4 linked regions of the Cricetulus griseus genome follow. The protein of the gene in region 4 purifies or fractionates together with the protein of the main gene of each other region. This does not show direct contact. Links are inferred from orthologs where the notes say so. Each region holds a gene or a part of one and is shown on either strand. Other genes may lie near its edges.

The links.
Region 1: the proteins of Pagr1 (region 4) and Paxip1 purify together in Homo sapiens (affinity purification with mass spectrometry; 6 studies listed by BioGRID and IntAct, with this or other methods). This does not show direct contact. The link is inferred for Cricetulus griseus from reciprocal best matches to the Homo sapiens genes PAGR1 and PAXIP1.
Region 2: the proteins of Pagr1 (region 4) and Ncoa6 purify together in Homo sapiens (affinity purification with mass spectrometry; 3 studies listed by BioGRID and IntAct, with this or other methods). This does not show direct contact. The link is inferred for Cricetulus griseus from reciprocal best matches to the Homo sapiens genes PAGR1 and NCOA6.
Region 3: the proteins of Pagr1 (region 4) and Wdr5 purify together in Homo sapiens (affinity purification with mass spectrometry; 5 studies listed by BioGRID and IntAct, with this or other methods). This does not show direct contact. The link is inferred for Cricetulus griseus from reciprocal best matches to the Homo sapiens genes PAGR1 and WDR5.

What each region holds. Positions count from the first base shown.
Region 1 is NC_048601.1:94,826,759-94,833,662, reverse strand, and holds part of Paxip1 (PAX-interacting protein 1), read right to left. Parts: intron 5,575-6,904; coding exon 5,479-5,574; intron 4,476-5,478; coding exon 4,338-4,475; intron 3,834-4,337; coding exon 3,712-3,833; intron 2,986-3,711; coding exon 2,801-2,985; intron 1,938-2,800; coding exon 1,894-1,937; intron 1-1,893.
Region 2 is NC_048599.1:24,215,877-24,222,780, reverse strand, and holds part of Ncoa6 (nuclear receptor coactivator 6), read right to left. Parts: intron 5,155-6,904; coding exon 5,008-5,154; intron 2,146-5,007; coding exon 1,029-2,145; intron 1-1,028. UniProt on the Homo sapiens protein: Nuclear receptor coactivator that directly binds nuclear receptors and stimulates the transcriptional activities in a hormone-dependent fashion. Coactivates expression in an agonist- and AF2-dependent manner.
Region 3 is NC_048599.1:139,188,854-139,196,463, reverse strand, and holds the start of Wdr5 (WD repeat-containing protein 5), read right to left. Parts: upstream 4,492-7,610; 5' UTR 4,341-4,491; intron 956-4,340; 5' UTR 868-955; coding exon 787-867; intron 189-786; coding exon 80-188; intron 1-79.
Region 4 is NC_048596.1:73,735,267-73,742,625, reverse strand, and holds Pagr1 (PAXIP1-associated glutamate-rich protein 1), read right to left. Parts: upstream 4,188-7,359; 5' UTR 3,758-4,187; coding exon 3,285-3,757; intron 3,158-3,284; coding exon 3,075-3,157; intron 2,304-3,074; coding exon 2,104-2,303; 3' UTR 1,877-2,103; downstream 1-1,876. UniProt on the Homo sapiens protein: Its association with the histone methyltransferase MLL2/MLL3 complex is suggesting a role in epigenetic transcriptional activation. However, in association with PAXIP1/PTIP is proposed to function at least in part independently of the MLL2/MLL3 complex.

The sequences.
Region 1 (6,904 bases), on a different chromosome or scaffold from region 4:
GGCCTCACCGCCTGGGCTACCTACACTATGCCACAGTGTTCAAGTCTTCACACTGTAACGCAGAGGCTTTTTTTTAAAAAACATACTTTAGTTAGCTGGGCCTGCAAAGTTCAAGGCCTGTCTAGGCTACAGAATGAGTTCAAGGCCAGCCTATGCAGCTTAGAAAGACCTTGTTTCAACTCCATAAAAAGGGCTGGGTGCAGAACCACTACCCAGCACCACCAAATATGCAAAACAAACCCTCATATCCCACCACCGTACCTGCTTGCATCACTGTGTTCATGATCCTTTTCTCAATCTGGCTCAGACTCACTTAACAACAAGTCACATTTCCAACACATGCTGCCATAACACAACAGGGAAAGAAAGCCAAGCACACCTCTTCTGCACTGTGCACCTAGCAGCCTCAGAGGCCTAAGCAGCATACCACACAGCGTCTGCAGGAAGGTCCTTACCTCCTGCAGATGCTCCAAGTCCCCCTCCAAGTCCCCCTCTGCCATTTCCAAAAAACCCCTAGCCAGGAGGGATCCAGCCTGCCTGGGAGCTGGAGCTTTAATACAAAGGCCCAGGAGACCAGCCTGGGAAGGCTGCCCACTTCTCAGTACGGGCCATGTGGCTTTTGAGAGATGACTCTGATTGCCACTCTGCCATCTGGGCCAACCTCAGGAAGTCTTTCACCACATGAGCAGGAAGGACACTGGCTTTTGCTGATGTGCCTGAGTTGGTCATGCTATATTAAAGTCATAATTACTAGTTTAAGCTAGAGAAAAATATGCATCTGACAGCAGGCCCTGAAGTGCACAGCCTGGAATCATCTCTGTATATTACAGAATGTGCCACAAGAGGGCTGAGCATGGTGGTGCACACCTTTAATCACAGCACTCAAAAGGCAGAACTCTGGGAGTTCTAGGCCAGTCCAGTCAACTTAGCAAGTTCCAGGACAGCCATGACTACATAGTGAGTTCCAGGATAGCTAGGGCTACTTAGAGAGATCATGTTTCAAACAAACAAAAGAAATAAAAAGAAATAAAGGCCTTGCCATGCTGGCCTTAAACTCCTACCCTCTAAGAACCCTCCCACTTTGGCCTCCCGAGCAGAAAGAACTATAGGTACACATTTCATGTGACTGGCTATATAAACCCATTCTTAAACGCTATAGGTTAAAGCTGGACATGGTAGGTAGCTCACACTGTAGTCATTTTCAGGTATACATCAAGTTCAAGGCCAGGCTGGACTCTACATGGGACCTGTCTCCAATCACAAAACAAACAGTAGAGTGGGAGCGAGAATATAGATACCCTCTACCAGTCAATCTGCAATTAACAACTTCCAGAATGTTCTATGCTAAATGGGCTCTCCAGAATAGCCAATATGACATGGCCTCACCTGTCCTAGCTACACTTGCCCTGAATGAGTGTTGTGGGCAAGCCCTGTCTGTGTCCAGGCTCCCTGCCTAGGAAGGGCTTGCAGGAATGTTCACCCAAAACAGGGAACTCTGACCTGTGGCCTGTGCTGGACCACGCCTCTGCCACTTCCAGTGTCTCTTTGTCTCTGAAGGCCTTGCCCACTAGCTATGAAAAAAAACCTGACATCTGACAGTTCTGTTCCTTGGTTCCTGGAGTGTGACAGAGCTCTCTGAAGCTAGCAAAGCTCATGTACACATGTGCCCACTCACTATCCACACTGACAACAGAGAAACATGTAAACTGGTATGTTACAAACCTATAACATGGAGAGGACAACCTTCATATGCTACTAAACTAAAAGCTAGCATTCACATGTCCACTGCAATTGAGTAACACAGCCACAGTCTGGGGGGGGGGGCAGAGGGGGAGGTGGGGGGGGCGGGGCTGACATACAGCAATGGCCACTGTGGGTGTGGGGCTGACGTACCATCAAGAGCTCTGCAGTCACCTTCACTGGGACCCTCCATGCATCTGAAAGAGAAAGATATCATCTTCCATATGGAATATTCACACCAACCTGCTGGAAGCCCTTCCGACGCAGGGAGCCTGGACACACAGGGTTTGCCCATAACACTCATTCAGGGCAAGTGTAGCTACAATACTGTAGCTCAGGTTTCTAGGACAGGTGAGGCAAGCATGGCTGATGCTTTACACACCATGATTCACCAAGGGTATGTAATGGGTGCTGTGTCCCATTCTGGGAAGACTGCAGTTACGATGAGCAGGGCCAACAGGTCCCACAACGGCCAATACACAGGTGCTGGCCGTAGGGAGCAGCTTGTGCCGTGCAACAGAGCGGACCTGAGGCCAGATATGCAGAGAAGTCTTGGTAAGGCCCAGATATGCAGAATGGCTGCACAGTGCGGATTAAAGAAGACCCCCTCCCATGATGAAAGCCTTCTAAATCCAACTGGGCTTCTCAGGTGTGACCAAAAGACAACCTGAGAAATGCTCAATTCTCAAAGGCAGAGGTAAAACCCAGTGCTGTATTACACATATTACAGACACGAATAAAAGACCTTAAAAAAAAGCTGTGCTGTATCTTATGTCCCTATTTTCCATGGGACAGTCCTCCCCTGAGAAGCTGACCACACAAGGCAGGGGGCAGCATCAGGGAGTGACAGCAAGTTCCCAAACCTTGACAGTGACAAAGAAAGCATCACCCTGAGGAGAAAACGGGGTGTGTTCCCTGCTCCAAATGCTTCTCAGACAAAAACCCAACAACCAAACCAGGGGGAGGGAACAGGGAGGTGCAGAAGGGAACTAAAGAAGCAGGTGACATGAAGAGTTGACAGGTGTCAAGCCACAGTGAAAGCACATGAACCATCACTGACCTAAAAGACTTAGGACCAAGTGAGGAGTGGGCGCAAAGGGGTCCGGAAGGTTGAAGGCGGTGTACCGGCTGTACTGCACCTGCCGCAGGGCCTCCAAGTTTCCCAGCAGAATGTCCCCCAGCCACTGTGCATTCACACACGGGATCCGCCATTCTTTGGCCTTCTCGTACTTCAAACCACTTGGTCTTTTTTTTTAATGAGAAATCACATTTATTCAATGTTAGTGTCATCTTGCCATGAATTCTTGTCTATTTTCAACAAAAGCCAATTTTAAAAAGAACTAATAAAGTGGGTGGGCATGTTTCAGCAAAGCTGCCAGCAAGCCAAGCTGGAGGCCAAGGGTAGTTAACCCCAGTCTCCAACTGGGTCAGTATCCGACTTTAAACCCTATCCCTGGTATCTACATCCATCAATTCACACTCTATTATTTCCTCCATTCACCAAGTGAAGTCTTTTAGAGGTGTTTCTGACAGTTCCGTGAACAGTGATGCCTCTTTAAAAATAGAGACAAAGATTGTTTTTAAGCATGGTGGTGCCCACCTTTAATACTAGCACCAGGGAGGCGGAGGCAGGTTTGAGGCCAGCCTGGTCTACACAGTGAGTTCCAGGACAGCCAGGACAGTGTGAGCTGGGAAGACAAACGCTCAAAGGCCTTAGAGTTATTCTTCCATGTACTTCCACACTTGAAATTCACACAAACTACAGTGTATTAGAAAATGACTGCAGCCAGACATAGTAGTAGCGCATGCCTGAGATCCCAGTACTTGGAGTTGGAGGCTCTCCACAAGTTTGAGACCAGCCTGGCTTACAAGAGGCCACACCTCCCCCCAGACAAACAAAACCACCCAACTATCTCCACGTCCCTCTCCTTAAGGCAAACAGGACGGAAACAGCTTCCAAGCCCAGCTTACTCTTTACAGATGAGGACAGTGTTGCTACGGCACAGGTACCCCGTATACTTGGCACCTGCCAGGTATGTCATTAACTTCAGGTCATCTCTGTCATTGTCAACAAATCCAGTCACAGAGATAATCTGGGGAAAAAAAGAGCAGATGAGAATATAAACACAAAGCGGCTTTGATTAGACTTTCTCATGCTCCTATGGCCTTGGGGATGTATCTGGCCCTGCCATTCCTGAGAGCATCATGAGAGTAACTTCACTGATAACGTGAAGCATACAGCATCCTCGTGGCAAGAAGAGATGAGGAGCTGCACTCACAAGGGAGTATTTCTGGCATCTGTGCAATGCTGCTCAGGTAATTTCAGGTTACTGTGCGGAGCACACACACAAAGGGCAGGTCTTTATTTTCCTCACTCATCCAGACTCTGGATCACTGGGTTGCAAGTGCCCACAAGTACTGCCTACGTCTGCCCAACAGCAGCTGACTCATCCTAGCATTTGGCGTGTCAATGAGGTAAAACGCCTCGTCTTTGCCACTGCTACGGTGGGCACGGTGCACAGAGGAGAGGGTGAGAAGCACCCAGGAGTCTGGGACACAACTGTGGAAAGCCAAGCAGGAGAGGGGACGGGTCTCACATGCTGTGAACAGGGTTTGCCCCCGGGTGGAAATGCCACAGGGAAATGCAGGGCTCGATGGGGCGGCACCAGTTTCTTCTTCTTCAGGACTGTGTTGAGCCAGTGTGCAGTGACACACCGCTTCCTCTCCCGTAGCGCCTGGCAAACAAAACAACAGTCATGCTGTCTCAGGCTCTTTGCTTAGAACCAGGGAGAAAATGGTTGGCTTACATAATACAGCGCCACCTTCCCAGAACCAATGAATCAAAGAGGTCACCTCCAGGGGATCTGAGGCTTCTGGCCCCCCAGGGCACCTACACACACTTTATGCACTTACAAAGAAATACATATACACATGATTAAATTTAAACCTCAAAGAAAAACTAGTCAGAAACCACACAACACAATCCCCCCACAAAGGGAAACACCCCTACACCCTGCATACAAAGCATGTACATATAACAGACTCCTAAATTTAACCACAGGTGAAGCTCACAGTCTAAAGTGGGACAGTCACCGGTACCTAACAAGGTGCTCCTAAAGCCAATGTCACGTACACATAGCATCCATCTGAACTACCACCAACATTTTTACAAAAAGAAATGAAAACCTCAGGGATAAGGAGGTGATGCTGGGAGGAGCTTACAGCCCAGGGTTCACTGTTGCCCTCTCAGGGTCTAACCCCCAGAAGCTCTTGCATGCAAAACAGCAAAAGGTTCCACGTCCCATCTTGAGGGTCATCTGGATGGTGACTAGGAGGGCCGGCCCTTTCCCTGCCTCTACCTGGGGCCTCTCCCTCTTCCCTCTCTATTGCCCAAAGCTGTCCACAACAGTATCTAACCCAACGAAGTGACTTTCTGAGTTTTGGAGGCAGGAAAATATTCTCTGGAAGACTGTAAGCACTGGGAGGATGCAGCAGATCACTTGTCTAATGTGCAAGAGGTCCTCGGTCTAATTCCCAGGACCACGAAAGGTGTGTGCCTCTCCCACTCAAGCGGTAAAGACGAAGGGATCACAGGCTTCAGATTGTCCTCTGTTGCACACTGAGGTCAAGGCCAATGTGGGTCACATGACACTGTTCCACAAATATATTATGCACCTGCTTCTTAGGCTGCATGTAACAATGCCGCTGCCGCCAGTCACGGTGACCAACCGTTCTTACCTGTGCATACATACTGCTGACTTGGCTTTCGCAGAGAAGGTGTGTGCATCGGCTTGTGAATGTGGGGTCCACAGTGCCGCCATGCGCCTGGATTATCTACACAAAAGATGCAGCCAAACGGGATACAACAGAATGGATTTCAACTCAGACAACTATGAAGAGAAGTCAGGCTACACTGGCATGGCTCATTCACCAAAGGATAAACAGTACCTAACAGCAACAGTCATACCAGTCACGGAACCTTCCCCCAGCACTGCTACTCAGTTCTTTCACAGAAAGTAGAAGGCAATGTGCTTACTTAAAACTGAGCCTCTTCACCTCAGTACTGCTGACATTTTGGTCAGCAGAGGGTGTGGGGGAAACTGCCCAGGTGGTGCATGGTGTCCAGTGCTCACTCTGACTTCTCACTGGGCACCAGTGGTGTCACTTCTAACTACCAAATGCTCCCAGAGCAGGTCCACTGCCCTTACACACCCTCACACTGCGTCAGAATGTAGTGTGTGTCAAGGCGCTGGAGATGGCTCCGAGAGATGAATGAGTACTGCTCATCCAGCACTCGCGCTTGTTCCCAGCACCCTCGCATCTGCCCGCATATCTAGCTTCAGGGGACCCAATGCCCCAAGATTCAGTGGGCACTGCACGTGCGCACGCACGCACACAGCATTTATGAAACATTTATGAAAACTGATTCCAGTTTTGGAGAAAGAACTATTCTATTCCGATGCTGGTTATATACCCTAGATATCAGCCAAAGGCTGTCACCACAGAGATCTGAACATCACTGCACAGCAGCTGAAATGTAAGCTCAACACTGAAAATTACCTGCTCTCAATCTGACTCAAGTGCTTATTTCATAAGTTCAGCTTCCAGGTGACATGAGAAAGCTATCAGTCCCTGCCTGCACCTGCTTCCCGCCATCTAAGCTCAGTCCTGACAATTACTAACATATCCTAACTCACACATGCGATGCTCGTTCACTGTTTTCTCATCTTACACAGTATCTACTAACTTTCCTGTGTGATAGCCACGTCATCCAGGTGGCTTCCCACGGTACCCTAAGACAAATGTTCCCCCTGTGTAAGTTCTGTTTCCTGGTGCTGGCCACTACCTCCCCTCACCCTCCACACCAGTTGTCTTGAAAGCATCCAATCTTACTCTCACTCTCTCCATAGAAATGTGTGCAAAGTGTGTCCTCAAATCGCATATCCTCTCGTAAGCCTTGGAGCTTCCTCCCTGGCAGCTCCAGAGACTCCTCCACATCCTGTTTTTGGTCTTGAGTCATTCAAGAAACAAAGGGAAGGAGCCAACTGCTGCACTGTGGCCACTCAAACAGCTGAAATGCTCCATATGGTGAGGTCTTGGCTAGCCCAGGGCATGGCAAGCATTCCCTTAAGCCACCTGCAAGCAACTGAGTCACAGCGAACCA
Region 2 (6,904 bases), on a different chromosome or scaffold from region 4:
AGAAACATAACTGAGTATGTAGTTTTAGGATATGCAATGTAATTGTCAATTAGCCTTCCTATTGTGTCTTATGAAAGAGCTCCTCTGCGGAACTTGTACTGAAAAGGAAACTGATTTAACAGGACCAATCATGGGTTTAAGTTTTTAGGGACAATGAGGGACTTTTAGAGAAAAGGCACAGATGCAAATGAATAAATATTTTTTTTTCATTTGTAAGATGGCAGGGTGTCTCCATGAATACATATTGTCTCACAAATTCCCCAAGAGCCAAGATAACATTGAAGTCTGAGCCCTGTGGAATGACAGTGGGTAGCCCTGGTCACTTTTCAGGTTGATAGATACAATTCCCATTGAGACTACAGAATTAAAAGGCCTATCAGCCAACTGTAAGGTACTGATTTTGTCTGAATCCTTAAACAAATAAACTAAAAAGAAAAAAGAAATAGAAAAATGTTAACACTATTCGGAAACTATTAAGTAGCAATTTTTGGGTGGTGGTGGCGAACACCTTTAGTTACAGCAGTTGGGAGGCACAGGCAGTTGGGCTCTGAGTTTGAGGCCAGCCTGGTCTACAGATCGAATTCTGGGATATCCAGGGCTACAACAGAGAAACCCTGTCTCAAACAAAAAATTTTTTTCTAGGCATGTTAATGTTATTTTGTGGTTATATAAGAGAACTATCTTTATCATTCAGAGTGGCACTGATATATTTACAAAGCAAATTTACCTTAAAGTAAATAAAAAGATCATAGAAAAGAGTACAGATGAAGATAAGATAAACTATAAGCTGATAGTTGTTAGACAATCTCACTGTACTATCCTAAATTTAGAGAAAGGTTTCATGTAGTCCAGGTTACAGGAGTCTACCACCATGGCTGGTTTATGCCCAGATTTTGTGCATAGTAGACAGACACTCTACTGAGCCACATTCCCCAACTCTAATTTTAAATATGTTTAAAAATTTCTATCAACAAATGTCTAGACAGAAATAAATGAGCAATATTCAAGGTTAACTGATTATAACCTACTTTAGATCTTGCTGACAATTTTTCTTCTTCCGAGGCGGTTTCTTCTTCTTCGGTTTATTTGCATTCGTATTATTTTGTTTATTGTTTACACCAAAATGGCCTGCAGAAATGTCACTTTGCAGTAAGTTGACCAACAATGGACTTGTTAGTGTTACATCCTTATTGACTGGGAAGCCTGGATTTTGACCACAAGACATCTGATTTCCATTGGGTGCACCACTGAATGGTGCATTGAAAGACATCCCATGGCCTGAGAAGTGGTTTCCCGAAGCACTGTTTCCCTGCATGCTCTGCACATGTGGGGGGACCATGTTGGTTTGTTGCATGCTAACATCAGGCAACATCTGAGACAAGTTGACATCATTATTTGCTGTAGTAGCAGGATCACCATGCTGCTGGGCCATGTGTGGGCTGGGTCCTGGGGGCCGCAGAACCTGCCCCTGAATCCCCATAACCTGAGATGGACTGCTGTTTACAGGCCCTTGCTGGGATAGCATCTGTCCTGACATCTGTCCTGTAAATTGCACCATGTTTCCTTGCATGTTCGGAGTTGGTCCCCTCATTATCTGTGCTGGTCCCGGCATGACATTGGATTGGTTCTGAGTGTTAAATTGCTGCTTATTCCCCTGCATCTGATTGGTCATTATTTGCTCTATCATTGGGTTCTGTTGGAGCAAAACTTGCCCCTGAGGCCCCATCATCTGGTTATGTGGTGCCATCATTTGTTGGCCCTGCTGGGGAAGCATCTGCTTGGGTGGGGTCATCCTTTGGGGTGAAGGCCCAAGATTTTGGTTCTGAGGGTTCACCATCATCTGGCCCTGTGGCATAAGCTGGGCCCTTGAAAGGATCATAGGGTTCTGAGGGTTCAAAGTTCCTTGTTGCTGGACCATTTGGCCCTGAGAGGGTACAATCTGTTGGTGCATGCCCATCAGCTGAGATGGTGGGCCCTGTTGAGGCTGGCCTTGCATGTTGCCCAGGGTCACCTGAGGAACCCCAGAGCTACCAGCCTGCTGGTTGTTTATGTTGCCATGAATTCCCATGAGGCTGGATTGCATCATATTTGGTGGCCCGTGAGACACCTGCATCTGGTTTTGAGGAGGGCCAGCTCCTTGACCACCTTAAACAAAAACAAAGAATGAAACATCATCATCATATTACTAAGATACTCAAACTACCTTACTCAGAAAGACATCCATCATCCATGTATCTAATAATCAACACAAATGTACTGTTTGACACATTTTCTGTGTGGTATTTTGACTCTGGAAGTGTGACATAGGATGGAAGTAACTGCTTATATATTTCATGATCATACAGCAGGAGAAATGTATCTTTACTTTTATATAGTAACTTAAAGATAACATTAGAAAGTAAGTTTAGGAGCTGGAGAAATGGCTCAGAGGATAAAAGCACTCACTGCCTGCTCTTCCAGAGGTCCTGAGCTCAATTCCCAGCAACCACATGGTGGCTCACAACCATCTGTAATGAGATCTGGTGCCCTCTCTGATCTGCAGGTATACATGTAGCCAGAACACTGTATACATAATAAATAAATAAATCTTTAAGAAAAAAAAAAGGAAAGTAAAGTTTACTTTTAAATTAAATGAAGCATTACCACTGTTGTAACTATTTTATTCACAATAATGTAGTTATAAGCCTTAACAAAAACCATCATGGGCTAAAAATGAGCTTTATTATGAGTAAGTGAGAGAAACAAAGAATGTACCAGTGTCTTCCAGAAAAAAACTCAGGAATACTGTAAAGACATTTAAAAAATGCTTCTTGGGAAAGTAATTATGCTTTTCAAAAACTATGTGTGTGAAATCTAGATGTTGTACTTTAAAGAAGATAATATACAATATTTCCTAACACGAGGTTTTCTGCTGAAATGACAAACTTCTGATCTGGTAGCTGTGGACAGGAGATGTTAAAAGTTTAGTGATCCTACTCTGTGGCAGTCCCTTGTGGACCACAGGGGACATGTTCTAAGTTCTCTTTAAAATAGGTCTTGGCCTATTGCATTGTTTGTTTGTTGGATCCTTGGGATTTTCTTATAGCTACCTGCTTTATGCCTACATCTCACTGGTGGTGATGGAGACTGAACCCAGGGCCTCCAATGTGTTCAATTAGAGCTATACCCCCAATCTAATCTACCCCACAGTTCACCTGAGTAAACCTTCAGAGCACTATATAGCAGGTTGCTCTGAAACAATGTGATCCAAGCTGCCTTTAACTATTACGTTTGGCTTAAAATTTTTTCAGCTGGGCACAGTGGCTCCATGCTTGTAATCCTAGCACCTGAGCGGCTGAGGCAAGAGAACTGTCATAAGTTCAAGGCTAGCCTGGGCTACATAGTAAAATCCTTTATCAAAACACCAAAAATAAAAACAAAGGCCACTTACATGCTGGGCAACAACTCTACTATTGAGCTATATATCCACTGAACTCATGCTCGTAACCACTGAACTATCTCTCCAGCCCCAAGAATTAGGAACTTTATACATTTTTAAATCTCCTATAACATTAACTCACATAACTCAGAAATGCAGTTTTACATTGGCAGACAGGAAAAATCAAATCATCTGTCCTACTCTTCTCTCATCCTTCAAGAGACAGTATTTACTTTTTATTTATTAAGTCCAATTTTTTTCTCATTCTCTTTTCTTTTCTGAGACAGGGTCTCTCCATGTAGTCTTGGCTGTCCTGGAACTATGTTGGCTAAGGTGGCCTTGAACTCCGAGATCCTCCCACCTTTGCACCCCACGTGCTAAGATTAAAGGCATGTGCCACTGTGCCTAGCCTCATTATTTTAAAAAGAATAAAAAAAAATTAATGCATATGTATCTGTGTGAATGCATGACACATTCATGTCCATGGAGCCAGAGGAGGGTGTCAGATTTCCCGAAGCCAGAAATACAGGAGGTTGTGAGCCACTGACACGGACAATGAGAATTAAGAGAGTAGAAAGCCTTTTTAAACACTGAGTCATCTCTCTAGTCCCTTGTTCTTTATTTCTTAGAAAATTGAATTTTTATTTATTTATTATTATTACTGTATGTGATGTGTGTGTAGGCATATATATGCCCATTGGCAAGGAAGGCCAGAAAGAGAACTTTAACCTGCTGAGACATCTCGAAGGCTCTATAACTTTTCTCATTCTTTAAGTAATTTACAATGAAAGTTGGAATTCAGAAAAATTTAAGCTAATTTAGTTCAAACTACTTCAATGAGAAAGGGCAAAAAATTACTTAGTTCCTAAACAACCAGAAGAACCCAGAAACATGAAATTTGGGCTTACAAAACTGCTTCAAGGAGTACTTGTTAGCTAATCCACTGTATGTTATTTCCTGTCCAAACTTTCTTATATATACTATACTATTGGTACTGACTGAATTGGAAAAGTGCCACATTGCATACCAGAATTTAGATACTCAGCATGAATGAAGCTGATATGTACTATCCAGAGATTTTAAAAGTTGCAGATGTTCAAACATGCCATAAACCCATATAACTGTGAATTTATGGCTTCCTTTCCCAGAAATGCCTTTTTCCTGAGCAAGTTCTAATCTAAGGGTCAGCAAATCAGGCCTACGATTGGTTTGAAAACAGGCAAGGATTTGGAACACTGTTGTCCTCACTAAGTAGAGTTGAATAACTGCAATACAGACTAAATGACCTAAGCTATTTACTATTTAGCCCTTTATAGAAAGAAGAGGAAGTATGTGTGTGTGAGCGCGTGTTCATGCATGTGTATGACTCCTGCTCTAACTGAAGTTTCATTTTTTTTCTCCTAAGGTGTTTCCTGGTTCTTGAAAAAAACTAAACAAAACAAAACTTATTTTCTGTTATTTCCCAAAGATTATCTACGTGTGAGGAAATTAAAGGATTTGTTCATCTGTATACCTCTATTGTCTATCAAAGTATTTACCACATAATCAATGCTCAATAAATGTGGCTAATTAAATCAAAATAAACAAACCTCCATGCTGGACATTTTGATTTGCTTGCAGTTGAAGGGCTCCTGAATTCCCAGGGGTGGTTGCTGTGGTGGAAGGCACCTGACCTTGCATAAAGTTCGGATTGGCCTGTCCTGCTGAGAAGCCAGGTGGGAGGCGTTTAGGCATTCCTTAATAGAAAACAATGAGTGAGGCAGTTACCTAGCAAATTTATACTCCTGCTGAGATGGAATGAATAAGGAAGGATGAGCTGCATGAAGTTTCCACTGGCTTAGCTCTCTCTGTCACACTGGTAGGATCTTTAATAATAAGGTTGGGAAAGATGGTTAAAAAAATCAATACAATCCCTTACATGAGCATTGTCAAAATGAAAAAGAAATACTAAAAAATTTCCACTCAGAACATGCCAAGGAAAAGATGGCAATTTGCTCCCTACATGTGATCTGAGGCCATACCATAGTAAGGTTTGAGGGCTCACTTTTCTCTGTAATAACAATGACTCCCAGTATTTATATATTGCAACACAGGCACCAAAAGATTATGCTAAATTCTCTCATGTTCAAACAAATTGGTATGAAATAGTATAAAGAAAGAGTTGGGTCCCAATTAAGGATAGATGGGTGATGTATTTTCCCCCCTTTGAGGAAAATGAATGACAATCGTTGCAGAAAAATCTCCCTCCCCCACCAGCGTTGTGCTTATCTCTTTGGAAGAGACAAGAGTTCACAGGAGCTTCAAAGTGAGGCTGCATTAAACTTATGCCTTTCTCTTGTAAGATTTGCTGTGATTCTGATAGCTATGGTACCAAAAATCATGCTCTAATGTAATCCTACTCAAGTTTACAACCTTTTGGAAGGCCTAATTTCAGAAAACAAGTTTGCAGTAAAGAGAATCTCAGATCCACTCATGTGCATACCGCAGGTCTTGATGTGGTGAGACCACCTAGGCTCTATAAAAGCAACAATACCTAAAGCTCTCTCAAATTTGTTCATTAGGGCCAGATTTTCAATACCCTGAAAAACTCTTTGTAGACAAATATGCATTTGTCCTTTCATTACAGCAACAAGTCCCCATTTATATGCTTTCGTTGTAATTAAGTCAGTAATCATATCTGCAGAAGGGACTACCCAGATTCTACTGATCTAGGGCTAGATGCCCGGAATAGTGAAGTTTGGAGCAGAAACATTCTTACATTTTCTAAAAATGTCTTAGAATTGAAATATTAGAGCCTGTATTTCAACAAAATCAATTATAAGAGAGTGAAAGGACTGATGGGCAACTTAACTTTACCAGAAACCATGGGAGCATGCCTTTGCTATGTTGCATTGAAGATGCAAGGGTTTTTTTCTGGGTAGGCAATGGGTGTCTTTTTGGGGGGATAGTCTTATCAGGTGAGTTTTACTGACACTCTCTATGCCTTACTGAAAAGCTCCAAGCACAGTCATGTGCACTAGGTCAATGATTAATAAGAATAAATAATAAACATGGAGATGGATAAGTTTTACTGTAATCGTTTTACCTCTCACACATTAAGCTCCATTGCTTTTTCTTCATACAAGAGGCACCTTACAAAATAAATAAATAAATCTCCTTTAGGTATAACTAGTGGAATTCCCTCTCTAAGGAGCAGGCATTGGCATTATAAAACTATAAAAGTAATGATTTTTGAACTTAGTCCCCTTTAATACTTTAATCAAACTTAACAAATACCATGCTTAGATTTTAGTAACTAGGATTATCAAAATTGGTAAGTAGAAGGGCATTTTCCCCATAAAACCCTGTACTTATCTTTTCATTTTTGCTCAACTGTATAAAAATCTTAATCCTTCAACAAATGAGAAGTTTAAATTATTAATAAAATACATGTTTTGGTCTGGACATTTTAATTTACTAGTACATGATTAAGCAAAAATAGTTTGA
Region 3 (7,610 bases), on a different chromosome or scaffold from region 4:
CAGTCAATGCCCACACCACCAACCACCTTTCCTCAGCTGAAGCTCAGGCTTTCTAGCCAAAGAACTGAAGGATACTCACATGAACTTGCCAGCCACTCCCCATTGGGGCTGAACTTCACGGAGGACACAGCTTTCGTGTGGCCAGCCAGGGTGAACTTCAGAGCATAGTTTGGCTTAACAGGTGTAGGCTGTGGGAGACAGTACCAATTAGCCAGAGGCTACTACCACTACCCAATCAACTCACTTGATGCCCAAATTTTAATTATTAGCTGGTTCCAAAACTCATACACAAGCACTTACTACCACCTTATCTGACGTCACACTTCAAACTGTCAGTGTAACCCTATCACTCTCTTCAAAGCCCCTTCTTCCTCTGGAGTCCCTACCTCAGCACACCAACAATTTGTAATTTTTTTTAGCCAACTAGAGTGGTACATATCTTTAAATTAATCCCAGCACATGAAGGGGAGAGGGAGGAGGCAGAGGCAGACATATCTATATGAGTTCAAGACTAGCCTGATCTGCATGTTGTGTTCTTTACCAGCCAGGACTATAGGAAGACTCTACCTCAAAACAATCTGTACTTTTTGTTAAACTCCACCCCCACTGTCTTAGGTCTGGGAATCTCTGACAGCACCTAGCATTTGGCTCTGTGTGACCACTGCCAGGTGGCCAGAAACTCACACTGCCAGCATACCTCACTGGGCAGAGCAGCCTGCACTAATAAAATAACATCCCCAAGAATCTCTCCAGCCTGTCTGCCACAGCGGTCCCTGTGGGACATACCTTGCTCTGTGTGGCTGATGAGGAAGGGGTAGGCTGTGCTCTTGCAGCCTCTGTCTCTGGCTTCTTCTCCTCCGTGGCCATGGCTCTGATGCCCACCGGGCAGGACACCGTGAAGGGGGAGTCACAGTGGAAGAGGCTGTCAGCTAAAGCGTACGCTACAGTATAGGGCCTATAAACAAATCCTCTCTTTAAAAAAGGTTACTGGGAGGGGACTGAATGCTGTTCCAGAGGACCCGACTTTGATTTCCACTTGTAAAACATCTTTAAGTCCAGTTCAGAGGATCTGACGCCCTCTTCTGGCCTCTGTAGGGACTACATACATGTGGTACGCAGACATACAAGCAAGCAAGACAAAACAAAAACACACATAAGATAAATTTGGCCAGGTATAGTGGCACACGTCTATTTCAGCATTTGGGAGGCAGAAGTAAGTGGATCTCCGAGTTTGAGATGGTCTACAGAGTTCTAAGACAAACAGGGCTACACAGAGAAACCCTGTCTCAAAACAACAAAAGGTTGTTGGGGATAAGTATAATAACTCAACCAGAGAGCATTCACCTAACATGCATAAGACCACCATCTACCCACCCACCCACCCTGCCAAGTATAAAAGCAATCATTCTCAGGAAAAAGGGAAAAACATGACCACTATATTGAACCCTGCAGCTAATAAACTGTTCCAAGCTAGGCATCCTTTAACTGTCACCCTGTCCCAGGGCTGAAGCTTCGAATGTTCTGTGTGATGACCCGCTCTTGACCTCTTTGTGAGCTTAAGAAAAACTTGACCCTCAAGGCAGCTTCCCATTGCAGTACTAGATGTGTACAGGCATGTGAGCTTTGCTTCAAAGAGCCTTGGGCACAGTTTTTAATTAAAAAGGCTTTCTGGCCGGGCATTGGTGGCGCACGCCTTTAATCCCAGCACTCGGGAGGCAGAGGCAGGCGGATCTCTGTGAGTTCAAGACCAGCCTGGTCTCCAGAGAGAGTTCCAGGATAGCCTCCAAAACCACAGAGAAACCCTGTCTCGAAAAACCAAAGAAAGAAAAAAAAAAAAAAAAGGCTTTCTGACAGAAACTGACAGGCCAAGTGACAGGAGGTAGACCTTCTGTGCAGAAGTTTGGGAGCTTACCCTAAAATGCACCCAAGGAATTTGATCATGAAAACACAGGCATTATGAACCCAGTGGCCACCACCTCACCAGCTGCTCCCTATGATCTCACAGGCTGCAGGTACAAAGCTGCCTTCTAGAATAAGCTCACAGAGCTCAAGGACTCAGTGCCCACAGTACTACAAAAGAGCTACAAGAGTAAACCAGAGTGGTCGCTGCCTCCACAGGTTTCCTCAGGAGGAGCAGCGAGAACAGCAGTGAACTGCAAACTAGATACATGCTACTGTGCAGAGGAAAGTAGTTATTCTGGTCAGCACTCAGCCTGAAATGTGTACACCTGCAACAGTTAATTCCATTGCAGCAATAGGTCCATCACCTGGATGCACCACACAAAAGCGCACCATGTGACTTGGAAATGAAGTAGTAGTCCTCAAAGGAGAACTACTAAGGCATACTTGCAAATGTCAGTCACTGGTCATGGATTTCTCGGCCATCAATATAAGAATGATGATGTAAATTCTAGCTTTGAGGTTAAACCTGAAACCTCACACAGACCCCATGTAAAGACTAAGGCAAATGAAGGACACACACAAAACATGTCTCAAAGTCTTCAGTCCTAGAGGAGTAACAGTTACAATGCCCACCACAAAGGGCACAGGTGCAGCCCAGCTGTTTTACCTGCAGCCCGTTCCATCACGGTCATAGCTTGCTGTAGCTCAAGCCCAGGTGCAAGGACTGGAGGAGGATAGATCCCCTAGGTTCTCCAGGGAACAAAGCTCTGGTGCCCAGGAAATGTCAGCTGTTTGGTGTTTTTAGCTTTTTGGAAGCAGGGTCTAGCTATGTACCTGGTATTCAAAAGCCTCCTGTTTCAGCTTCTGGGTACAGTTGATGTAACAGGCATATATCAATCACCAGGCCTGACCAGGAGCTTATTCTTTTTTTTTTTTTTTCCCCGAGACAGGGTTTCTCTGTGTAGCTTTGAAGCCTGTCCTGGAATTAGCTCTTGTAGACCAGACTGGTATCAAACTCAGAGTTCCGCCTGCCTCTGTCTCCTGAGTACTGGGATTAAAGGCATGTGCTACCAACGCCAGGAGCTTATTCTCAATGAAAATTTGGCCATATCATGGATTCTCACAGCTACCACTTCTGCTGACCATACAGGTAGCAGGAGGAGCTGAGGATGCTGAAAGTCCCTTTCACAAAGCCCAGCAAATCTCCCCAGTAAAAGGACAGGGCAACAGTGTAGGGGAGGTCTCTTGGGTGGGAAGGTTCTGGGAACTAAACAGCTTCTTTTAGATAAGGAGATTCACCTAGCAGTGGGTGGATGACTTTGCAAACAAGTGTGCACCACCACCCTCCCCACCCCGCAATACCCTGTGGACAGACAGGGTCTTTCTTCAAGATGTCAAATATTAACATATGAAAGCACCACGCTTTAGGCCACATTTGGGAGTCTCTGAGTTCAAGATCAGCCTGATGTACAGAACAAGGTCCAGAACAGCCAGGGCTACACAGAGAAACCCTGTCTTGAGGAAAGAAAAAAAAAAAAAATCCCACCAACTTTAGCCAGTCTTCCTCACAACATTCCGGAGGCTGGAGGCTCAGGAGTTCAAAGCAGTTAAAAAGAGATGCCAGCAACTACATAAGTCTGTCTCAAAAGAAATCACCGATTTCCAATTTCACTGGGCAGAGTCCTAGACAGAGCATCTAGGTGTGCAAGTTTTAAGCCTACGGAAAAGCAGGATTGGGGAGGACAGCTCTGAGAGGAAGGTATGCTAAACAGAATACTCGGAAGGTGGCTTGGGCTTTATACTACAGTGAGCCTGGCCATGGAAGGGCAGCAGTCACTACTCTCTCTCCAATCGAATGCAGATTCCTGGATGGCACTGAGTGCACAAGTGTAGAAGAGACAGAATGTTTCACTCAGGTGATTGCAGCTGGCCAACCCAACAAAGAGCTACAACCCATTCTCTCTGGGTTCTAGTACCTTGGTCCTAGTAGCCCTGGCTTCACACCACTGTGTGCTGACCCAGACAGTGTTTACAACCCCCTTGACTAGAGTTAGGCCTCGTCAGGTAGAAATTTGCACTGGAACTCAGGTGAAGGTTGTGCTGGCAACTGGCAACATAAGAGAGGCGCCAAGTGGCCAAGGAAACCTGGGAGATACTGGCTGGGTGAAAGACCGTGAATCCCACCCCCAAGGACACCAGCCTGAGGTGTGCTTCGAGGAGCTCGCACGACTAAGGGTCTAGTGGCGCAGTGGGGGTTGTCGTGGGAGGAGTGGGCCATGACGACCACAAGGGGCGGTGGGGTCGGGGCGCGGCCCCAGAGGCGGCGCCGGGCCCGGCCTGAGGCCCATGGAACACGTGCGGCGCTGTGGATCCCGGAGCCCGCTATCCCTCGTGGCCGCCGCCCGCCTCGCGCCCAAAGGGCCGGCTCACTCTCTTACCTGCCGGGGCCGCGGCGGCGGGGCCGGGCGCTCTGGCGTCGCGTCGGCTAGCTCTGCGCGCGAGAGCAGACGAGCTCCTGAACTAGGCGGCAGCGGCGCGGTACGCGGGCGGGAGTGCGCGTGCGCGGGGGGCGGGGCAACGGGCGGCGACGAGGGTCAGAAAAATTAGAGGAGGAGGAGTGCCTTAAAGGGGCCGCCGGCGGCTCTCGCTTCCTGCTTGACAGCTGGGATCCATTGGTTGCAGACCCGTGGTGTCTGCAGTGAAGGATGGGACGGAATGTGCTTTTGTGATTCTCCTGTTGTTCCATGCTGTGTCGCCAAGCTGATAATTACAGCTTGGCCGTCCTGGCCTGTGACTGCGCTGGGGTCTTGGGAACCCTCTCGGTGCCACTGGTGGAGGTCCACGAGGTCCGGAAGTCCGGAGCTCCTGCGGCCTCCCCAGCCTACCGCAGGGCGGGGGCTTCCTGCCGCTACAAGCCACAGCTCAAGTTGGACACATTTGCCTCGCCTCTGAGCTAGGCGACAAGGAGGCTGTGCTACGCAGCCCCATACTCAGAAAAAGGTCTTAGAAACTATCGCCGCAAGGCCGGGCGGTGGTGGCGCACGCCCTTAATGCCAGCACTCGGAGGCAGAGGCATCTGGGATCTCTGTGAGAGCAGCCTGGTCTACAAGAGCTAATTCCAGGACAGGCTTCAAAGCTACACACAAACCCTGTCTCGAAAGAAAAAAAAAAAAAAAAAAAAAAAAAAAGGAAGGAAGGAAGGAAAAAAGAAAGATGAAAGGCAAGTGTCCCTAACACAGGGGCTCTAGGTCCTCTCGCTATGCATGCATCTGGAACCACTGCATCATTCAGTTGCTCCTTAGTTTGGGTGCCCAGAGATCACATTCCAGGCAACCGCAGTATCCACTACAATCCAGCTCCTGTATGGCTCAGAGGCTCATTTTAAAGTCTCTGTTTTCACCGTAATTCTCATTTTCACAAGACAGCTCCAGACAGGCAGGATGCCCGAATTAAGCAAAGTATTCACAGCCCCCTCTCCTGTAGGCCACCTCTACTCCTGTCACTAATGGAGGAAAGACCCAGAGAGGACACAAGGACATAATGACAACCTGAAGACAGGCTGCATCTTCATCTTACTATCTAACACACATGGTCTTAGAATCTTGGAGATGGTGGCGGCCTCTTATCTCCCAGTGTGGGAGTATCAAATATAGCATAGGAACCTGTGCAAAGGAAGTGAGCCTTTGGAGCTGAGAATGTGTGTGGTTCCCATAGCTATAGGAGTGAGAGAAGACTGGCAACTGGCCCAGAATCCCCTTCCAAAGAGGACACAGAAACAGCCGATGTGATACTGTGTGCCTAACAAACCTGATCCCTATGTTCGGAGCCCTGAATGGAGCAGAGTGTAAGGTGGGAAGAACAGTATCTCCCATATCTGCCTAGCTGCCTGGACTGGAAACCAAACCTAATTCTGAACTTCCTTCTGCTCAGATAACACTCAAATCCTTCCACTTCCATCCTCATCCTGGCTCTACCTAATATGCAGCCTTTTCCAGATTCCAGCCAGAGGAACTGCTAAAATGCAGGTCTGTCTGGGGATGTAGCTCAGTTGGTAGAGTGCATGCAAGAAGCCATGTGTTCAATCCCCAACACCCATAAACCAAGTGTGGTTGCACAAGCACTAGGAGTTAGAGGCAGAGGATCAGAACTTTGAAAGATCATCTTTAGCTACATATTCAATCAAGACCAGCCTGGGAGGCCCGAACGATGACCCAGAGCCCTCAGATTTCCAACTTTCGCTCAGTGGATTTGAATGTCTTCTTCTCAAGGGAAACAGCCTTCTGGTTTAAGTGGGAAACTTCACCATTGTTGTCATAGCACAAACCCTGAAACCAAGTAACACAGCAGGGTAGAGCTGTTGTTGGGGTCAGAGGAAACACTGAAGGAAGACCCCAGACTCAAATAGTAGGTAAGAGCAAAGAGCATTTATTACTATACCAGCATATGTAAGGCTGTTCACCTGCACAAAAATAGCAATGACCCCAAGAAGCGTGTGCAGGCTTCCTTTAAGCACAGTTAGGGGAATTTTAGGGACAGTTAGGTCATCTCAAACATAGTTGGTTAAACAAGCAGCATTACATTAGTACACTTTTTTGTTTTGTTTTCTACAAGACAGGGCTTCTCTGTGTAGCTTTGGAGGCTGTCCTGGAACTAGCTCTTGTAGACCAGACTGGTCTTGAACTCCCAGAGATCCACCCGCCTCTGCCTCCCCAGTGCTGGGATTAAAGATGTGTGCCATCATTACCTGGCTTTATTTATTATTTTTATGTGCTGGTGTATGTACCCGCATGAGTTTATATGCACCACATGTCTACAAGAGCGCAACAGAGGCCAGAAGATACATCCCCTGGAATTGGAGTTGCATGTTGTTTCTAACCTGAAATGTGGGTGCTGGGGATAGAACCAGTTCTTCTACAAGAGCACCAAGTGTTCCTTACTGCTGATCCATCTTAGTCCCCTAGCAATTCTTATAAATACAACATATCTAGAAAGTTCCTCTCCCCTCTCACTTAAAGCTCTCATAACAGCCAAGCAAACTTCCAACAGCCAACATCCATTTGGATTTGCCATCTGGATCCCCAGATAAATGAATACGACAGCACAGCTGCTAGTTCCTTCTGAAATAAGACCTTTTATTGCAGTCCCTGGCTCAGTGTCCCCTGGGCCTGTCTGAGGTGGATCAGAATTCTCACACAACAGTCTTTGCAGTTGGCAAGGGAAAGGAGATGGAGGGGTGACATCTAGTAAACACTGAATAATTGTATCCCCCCTCCTATTTAGATGGATGGGTGAGTGCATGAATGGATGAATATCTAGACAGATGATTATGTGGATGGGTGTATGGTAGACACCTAAATAGAAGGGCAAGTATGTGTCTAGATGGATGGATCAGTGGATGAATGGGAGCCTAGATAGAAGAGAAGATAGATGAGTGGGTATTTGGTAAGTAAATAGACAAATGAATCTATGGGGAATATGTAGAGGTGAGTGAGTGGGTACAGAAGGCACAGGTAGGTTCTTGTAGTCACAGATAAGCACTAAGGAAACTAAGAATGTTGAACATTCAGGGGGGTCTCCTCCATGGAAGAAATAAAATTCCTACTTTCCACCCAGAAAGCTGGGAGTGGATGCTGTTAATGACCTGGTGACCTTTGCTATCTATAGTGCCAGACCCAAATCCCCAAATGTTTACCACAGACTCTCCCTTC
Region 4 (7,359 bases):
ACCTCTGCTACACGAGGAGCTGGAGTTTGGCACACACCACAGGAGACCTGAATACCCAGCACCCAGGCACTCAAGGTGGTAGGTGCCTTGCCCAACTGCCCCACCTCAGGGCAGGGTAGATACTCAATGTGCCAAAGGTATAAGTAGATAGTTTCCTGGAGAGTCATCCAGTATTCCTGTGATGGTCATCTTCTCTTCCCTGTCCCAAGGGTCCTCAGGTAGGAAGCAGAGAACATTAGGAACAGCTGCCCTAACCACCATCTCCTGCCAGAATTGGGCTCCAGTCACAGATCCCAAGTCTCCAGTATCTCAGGCTGATTGTCCAATTGAGCTTACTATCATTTACGTCCTCTTCCCCCAAAGACACACGTTCTCCCTAAACTCTGCACCTTTTGGAAATCAAGCTACCCTTATGATCATCCTGTTAGCCAGCGCTCAGTGCTGAAGCCCACAGCTCCCACAGCCCTGTACAAGGCAGCAGAGCCCCCACAACTGAGAGAGACCAGGGTCAAGTCACATGCTAATCATTCAAGAAGAGAAAGCAGAGCCCAGGTCCTTGGGGGAATGAGGATAGGGAAGTAAGACAAAAGATGGAGCCTGCATGGAAGCTGTAACTTTGTCTAACTGGCTTAGTTATTTGAGACAGGACCTTACACTGTAGCTCAGGCTGTGGTGGCACTATGTAACTCAGGCTGGCCTCAAACCTCTGAAATCCTCTTGCCTCAGCTGCCCAAGTGCTGGGATTAGAGGTGTGAACTGTGTCTGGCAAGGTTCCCCTGGGCTTTTTTTTTTTTTAAGAAAAAAAGTGTGTTAGGGGCCAAAAACAGGGTCTTGGGTATGCAGTTATGCTGTGAAACTGAGTTACACCCCAACCATCAGTTTGCAGAGTCTCTGCCTAACATGCATGAAACCCTAGGTTGGAACCCCAGCACTGAATAAAACTAATAGCGGTGGCAGGCAGCTACATCAGCATTCATTCAGCAGGTGGAGGCAAGAGGATCTGACACTTAAGGTCATCCTGGGCTATGTAGAGAGTTCAAGACCACTTAGGAAACACAAGACCCTTTCTCATAAAAACAAAAGCCAAATAAACAAACCAGAAAAAAAAAAAAAAAAAAAGAAGAAGACAGGGTCTAACTATGTGTCTAAGCTGGCTTGGAGCTCCGGGCTCAAGGCACCCTTCTGCTTCAGCCTTCTGAGTGGGTAGTTATTAAGTGTGTGTAACTTAATAACTTAAGGGCCTGACCAAAGCACCCCCTTACCCCCAATCTTCTGTGAGATCCCGATGTCAGGGAGGCTTTAGGTTTTGGGAGTGAGGGTATCGGCAGGGTATTTCAAAACCCAGAAAACTTTTAGAAAGTGAAACCTCTCAAGGCAGAGCTGCCAACGCCCTCCTTCCTGCCCTTTGTGACTAAGGTGTAACTGCCCCAGAAAAAAGGCAGCACTAGAGAGCCAGTGGGACAGACACCTACTCATGGGCTGGAGTCTGGGGGTCCTGCCAGGGTCTCGATCCCGTACTCACATTTAGCAGCGGTGTAGCTGGTTGCTGCAGGCCTTGAGTCAGGAATTTCCCTACCCACACTGGGGATGACTTCCCCATAGGGCTGGACAGGCAGGGGCGGAGCTTGGGTATTTAAAGGGCCCTGCAACTGTATCTTTCCTCCTCCAGGCTACAGCTGAAGAAGACACTGCAGACTGGTGCATACTCAGTAGTTTCTGCCTCAGTACTGACTGTGGGACTGTACTGAGAATAGGAAGTGTCAGAGGACCAGACTGGAGGGGATGATGGCTGGGTACCTTTGCCCTTTCAGGCGTCACTATTCCAACGCGGAGGAATACAGTTCTGCCTCTGCCCAAGTGACAGCACATGCCTGGGTTCAGTGGCAGTCTCTGCCAAAAGACTCATTCTGCATCTTTTATTAGGCTCAGCAAACCCAGCTCAGAACTGCAAGCAGACATTCAACAGAACACACACTCTCCTGCAAGGCACTGCGCTGGGAGCTTGAAGCTTTTCTCTGTGACAAGCTTCCCAGAGCCTGGGCTGGGAAGGGCTGGCCACGACCAGCAGAAAAAGTCTGCACCTGTAGGCCCCAGCAGCAATAGTCAGTACTTCCGTTGCCGGGGAAAGAGACTGCTCCCGGAGGATCGGAGCGGAGGGCTGGCAGGGCTGGGGCTCTCTGAGTCTAAGCTGAAGAGGTCTCTCCCAGTGCGAAGGATCTGTTCCTCTAGTTTCTTATGTCGCTTCATGTCCGAGAGGACCTTGTCCAGGCGGGCTTCGCGTTTCTGGCTCCGGGCTGAGCTTCCTAAGAAGGTAGGAAGTGAGACAGGATTGAGGCAGCGAGCACCTCCGGCCCCTACACTTAGAGACCTTGTTGAACACATCCATTTTAGGCCTCAGCACAGAGGAGCTAATGCTTCAGGCTGGGCCACACACAGGATGACTGACATGTGATGGCTGGGGAGCATACTGGGTGTGTGTGTGGGGGGTGACAAGTGCAAGGGTCCTGGGGCACTGGGGTGGGGATAGAGGACAGACAACTTAGATTCTCCCTGGTCATGTTACCTGTAATGGAACCCTCTGGAGGACTACAAGCAGAGAAATGACAAGGACTACTCTGGTTGCCAAGACCAGAAGCAGGGAGACCAGTTAGAGCTGTGGAAACTGTCCAGCAGGAGAGAGATGGTATTAAAGGTACATCTGTAGACATGGAGCTAATGGAACTTGCTGTTGGCCTGACCAGGTGGGAGAGAACTCAATGATTCTGAGTAAGTCTCAGAAGGCACGTGGGCTGGGATGGCAGATCAGTTCTGGGGATGTACACAGAGCTACATAATAGTGTCCTAGAATAATGACCAGCCAACTTTGAACTTCTGGGAATAAGATGAAATGAACAGGCAAAAGAAGGTCTGTGGGTCTCTTAGAGGAAAAAGTAAGGCACTGACCTAAGCCAGAAATACCCTCCTCCTGTGTGTATGCTCCATCCTGCGGCTGGTTTGATAGCAGCCGATGGAACACTTTGGGATACACAGAAGAGGCCCGGGGCCTCCCCTCAATTCTTCCCTCTTATTCGTACCTGGCGTACGTCTTCTGTCAATCAGTGAGTCCTTCGGTGTCATTGGCTCATCATCAAAGTCAAATTCTGTAGGCATGTGCGGCCTGAGACAGGGTGAACAGAGAATGACGGGTGAGGGAGGCCCTCCCAAACACCTGCTGGCTCAACCCTCCCTCCAGTTTCTGTGCTCAGGAGAACAGTCCCAGGGGCAACGTAAAGTTATGGTCTCACTTTTCCTCCTCCTCCTCTTTGGCCTCCGGCTCCTCATCTGATCTCTCCTCTTCACTCTGGGCTTCAGGAGTAGGTGGCCGGCGGGGCAGGATCTCCGCTTGAAGCTCCAGAGTACCCTGGGCAGCCAGCAGTTCATAGAGACGCTGGATTTCGGAGGGTGGGGGCATCCAGGACTGCCCATTGGCCGGCAGCTCCACCTCCTCATCGCTGCAGGGCACGCACCAGTCTTCGGATTCTCCCTCGGCGCGCTCGTCGCCCGCAGCGTTGGGAGCTTCTAGTGCCTCCTCAGCCCTGGATCCCTCACGCCCGGCCTCCTCCCGACCTCCTTGCCCCTCTTCCTCGGCCTTACTAGCCGAGACAGAGGGACCTCCGGTGTCCTCCACCGCCAGAGCCTGGAGGCCGGAAGTCACTTCCCCTTCTTCAGACAGAGGCGCCGTTGTGCTGCCTGCAATGGTTCCATGGCCCAGGGACATAGAGCACTAGAGAAGCCCAGCAATGTAAGAGATTCTGGAGTACCAGACCAGGGCGCCTCCCCCAAAAGGACTGAAATCCACTGGGGTTTACGAAATCTCCAACCAGTCAGTCCAACACTGACTGCGGCCAGAGACCCGTCCCCAGGAGGGGGCGCTCAGATCCCGGCAAGGACAGACCCCACCCCACGGATCCAGATCCAGAATCCTGCCGTTCCCGGGGACCCGCAGGAACCGCGCTCGGAGCTGGAAAGGGGAGGGCCTGCTTTCTCGCTTTCACATCGCCCTCTCCAACACCTGGACGGGAGTCATTTCCTTAGAGCTCGCAGACCTAGTTCGTCAACTCAGCGGCCGTACAACCGGAGCTAAAGCCCGCCTCCCGGCCGCGCAGGGTCGCAGCACGCAGGCGCAGAGAAATGGCGCGCGGAGACTCGACTGTAATCAGAGCTACTCGAAAGAGGGAAGAGAAGGCTGGCGCATGCGCGGATAGGCCTGTAGGCACCACTAGCTTCGGCCCACACTAAAGATGGCCACTGCGGCAGCGCATGCGTATTTCGTTCACTAGGGCCTGCCAGAAAGCAGTGCCTTGACTCTGCAAACGAACACAGGGACCAACTGAGGCGAGTCTCATGCATTCTCTGTTTATTGGTGTTTACGACTCATGCAGCATTCAGCATACAAAAAGGGAGACTCAGTTTGATTTTTTTTTTAAAGGAATTTTAGTTTCTCCCAACTTTTTCTTAAAGGAAACAACCCCCCCTCCCCAACTCCAAAATGCATTGCAGCTGGCTCCCTGCCTCCTCAGAGGGCTGTGGCGTGCAACACCTTATCCTCTTAGAGAATAATAACAGAACTTCCCCCACCCCTCCCTCGCTCCCTGCAGCTGGGAACTTTGGTCCTTTTTTTTCTTTCTTTCTTTTTTTTTTTTTTTTTAATTCTATTGTTTACAAAGCAAGTGAATGGCCCCAAACCCCCAGACCTTCAAACAAGAAACTCTGAGGTTAAAAGCCCGAATGGGCAGGTCAACTCAGGCTGCGGCACTCCTTCCTCCCCTGGATGTTTAGAATGAGGACTCCCACTCTCACCTTCCCCCAGGTGAGGCCTGGCTTGCCAATTCTGCAACCCGGTAGGCACCTTAGGGATTGGGGTCAGGGTATGGCCTGGGCCCAGATGGTCCCCAGTAGAGAACAGTCAGAGCCCCTAGCTAGGCAGTCCTCTCCTCACACTGTCCTCCTCCCTCAGCCTGACCTAAGTACTGCAGCTTTTTACAGAATAAGTGGTGCAGGAAGGTGAAGATGGTAGCAGGGAGATGAGAAGGCAGAGGAGTCAGGGATGTGGCAAGGGGAGCAAGGTGTTAAGGAAGGAAGAAAAGAATGAGTTAGATGCCAAGACAATGACAGTTAGGAGGTGGGGGTTAATTCAGGTTCAGAGGAGTCCAGAGGCAGGAAGAAGTGCAGTGGGCTGGGAGAGATGCAGAGGTGCAGAGTACAATTTAGATGTTCAGGAAGGCTTCCAGAAGTGCAGAGAGGTTTTTCCGAGTGCAGGGTTAGGGGGGATCAAGAGGCAAGAAGGGAGATCCGCAGGCAAAAGTGCAGGGAGAAAGGAACCCTGTGGCTGGCAGTGGAGCCTGGCAGGATGCAGGAGCAGGAAAGAGCTGTAAACAAGGCTGCTCAGGCTCCCTTGGTCCCTAGGGATGGGGGCCAGGGCCATGGACTGGGTTTCCCCCAGGGTAGGGATGGACCCAAGACAGCTCCCAACAGGAAGGAAAGTCTTGGAATGCAGGGCAGAACCCCTCACTTATACACTGTGGGAGAGGAGAGGGAAAGACAAACAGGGAAGGAGACAGGAAGAGACAAAGAAATAGGGAGAACAGACAGGAGAGAGCAGGGTAAGGGGTTAGTAAAGCTGCCCTTGTCAACCCTTCCACTCCTCCCTTTCCTGTCCCCGACCGACCCCCACTCACCGCCCAAGTTGATGACGCAGGAGGCGATGATGATGAGGACCCCCCCCACCAGCGCCACGATGCTTAAGAGCTTGGCTACTCGGCCCAGACGTTGAGCCCCGTCCACGTCCCCCTGTTGCAGGCTGTTCCGGGACTGGGGTGCGGGTGAGGGGGGTTGGAGGTGTCATGGCCCAGGTCAACAGGAGCCAGCCCAGCAGGGATCAGGTGAGAATCCAGAGGAAGGAGGTCAGCCCATGGGGTTAAGAAAGGAAGGATTGGGAATGCAGGAGGAAGAGGGCACACAGGTCAGCAAAGTTACATGAAACATCTTTTCCCTCCCGCTTAAAGGGCAGGGCAGGGCAGGGCAGGTCGAGAGTGGCTTGGAGGGTTAGGTCCTGGGGAGAGGCAAGCAAAGGTCCAGCAACTGGGAAAGTGGGGTCCGTGCGGAAAGAGGAAAGGGAGTGTGTCATTTCTGGGGCTTTATTCTGACACTAGCGGGAAGCTGGGAGCACAGTATGCCTGGGCCAGGGTCCCTTTGGGGCTCACCATGACGGCATAAGCGAAGGCCACAATGTTGACAGGCCACATGGGGCAGAAGCAGGACAGGATGGCAAGGATGATGTAGTCCCGAGGTTTCTGGGTGCCATCACCCCCTTCCACCCCAGGTCCTGCCAGCTGGGAGCTGGGATGACGGCTCAGGCTACCTCGAGGAGATCCTGGATGCCCACTATGAGCCCTTCCTATTCTGTCCTCCTCAACCAGCTTCTGCAGCACCCGGGGGGGAGCCCCATTGGCTGGTGGTGTTTCAGTTGAGGGTGGTGAGTGAGGCTGGGGGGCTGGGCCCTCTTCTCCATCACCGGCCTGAAGGGGAACCACTGCTCCATTTTCTTGCTTTTCCCCTATACTTTCTGTCGGGACCTCAGTGGTAGGGTCCTCTTGGGTGGGGGCCTCTGGCTGAAGGGGTAGCTTAGGAGCAGACTGGGAAGTTGGCTGAGGATCTGGCTGGGGATTTAGGTGGAAAGCAGGCTCTGAGATTGGCTCAGGAGGGGCTGCAGACTGCTGCTCAGACCCCTGCTCTGCTGCAGCTTCTTTGTTCACATCTGGTTTGGATGCTGACTCTTGGCATGCCTCTTTGGGGCTGGGGCTGGCCTTGGATTCTTCGGGTGGGTTTAAGCTGAGGTCTGCGGCCTGGACTATTTCTGAGGCCTCAACTGGGGTCTCTGTGGTTTCTGAGGCCAGCTCAGCCTTAGGCCCTGAGTCCACAGGGGCTTCAGTGATACCTGGGCCGGGCTGAAGGGCCTCTGGCTGGTCTGGAATCTCTGCTACAACCTGGACAGGACTTAGGCCAGCTTCAGAATGGCCAGGTCCTTCTCTCTGGGTCTTGGAACTATCTTCTAGCTCCTTCATCTCAGAGACCTCAGAACTGCTGGCTGCCATCTTAGAGAAGGGAGATAGGAGAGGGCCCGTGGGAAAGAGGGAAGAGCAGTGACAGTGGCAAACCCTGGAAGAGGAGGAGACAGTCTTGGTGAGGCGGCCAAGGCTAGCCTGTACTGTCCCTAGGGAGACGAGGAAAACTTGGAGTTTCCTTTGCTTGGAGGTGGGACACCCTTGGTGAAGTAAGTCTGCTTGGAGAGCCCTGGTTAGATAAACCCTTTTCTAGACA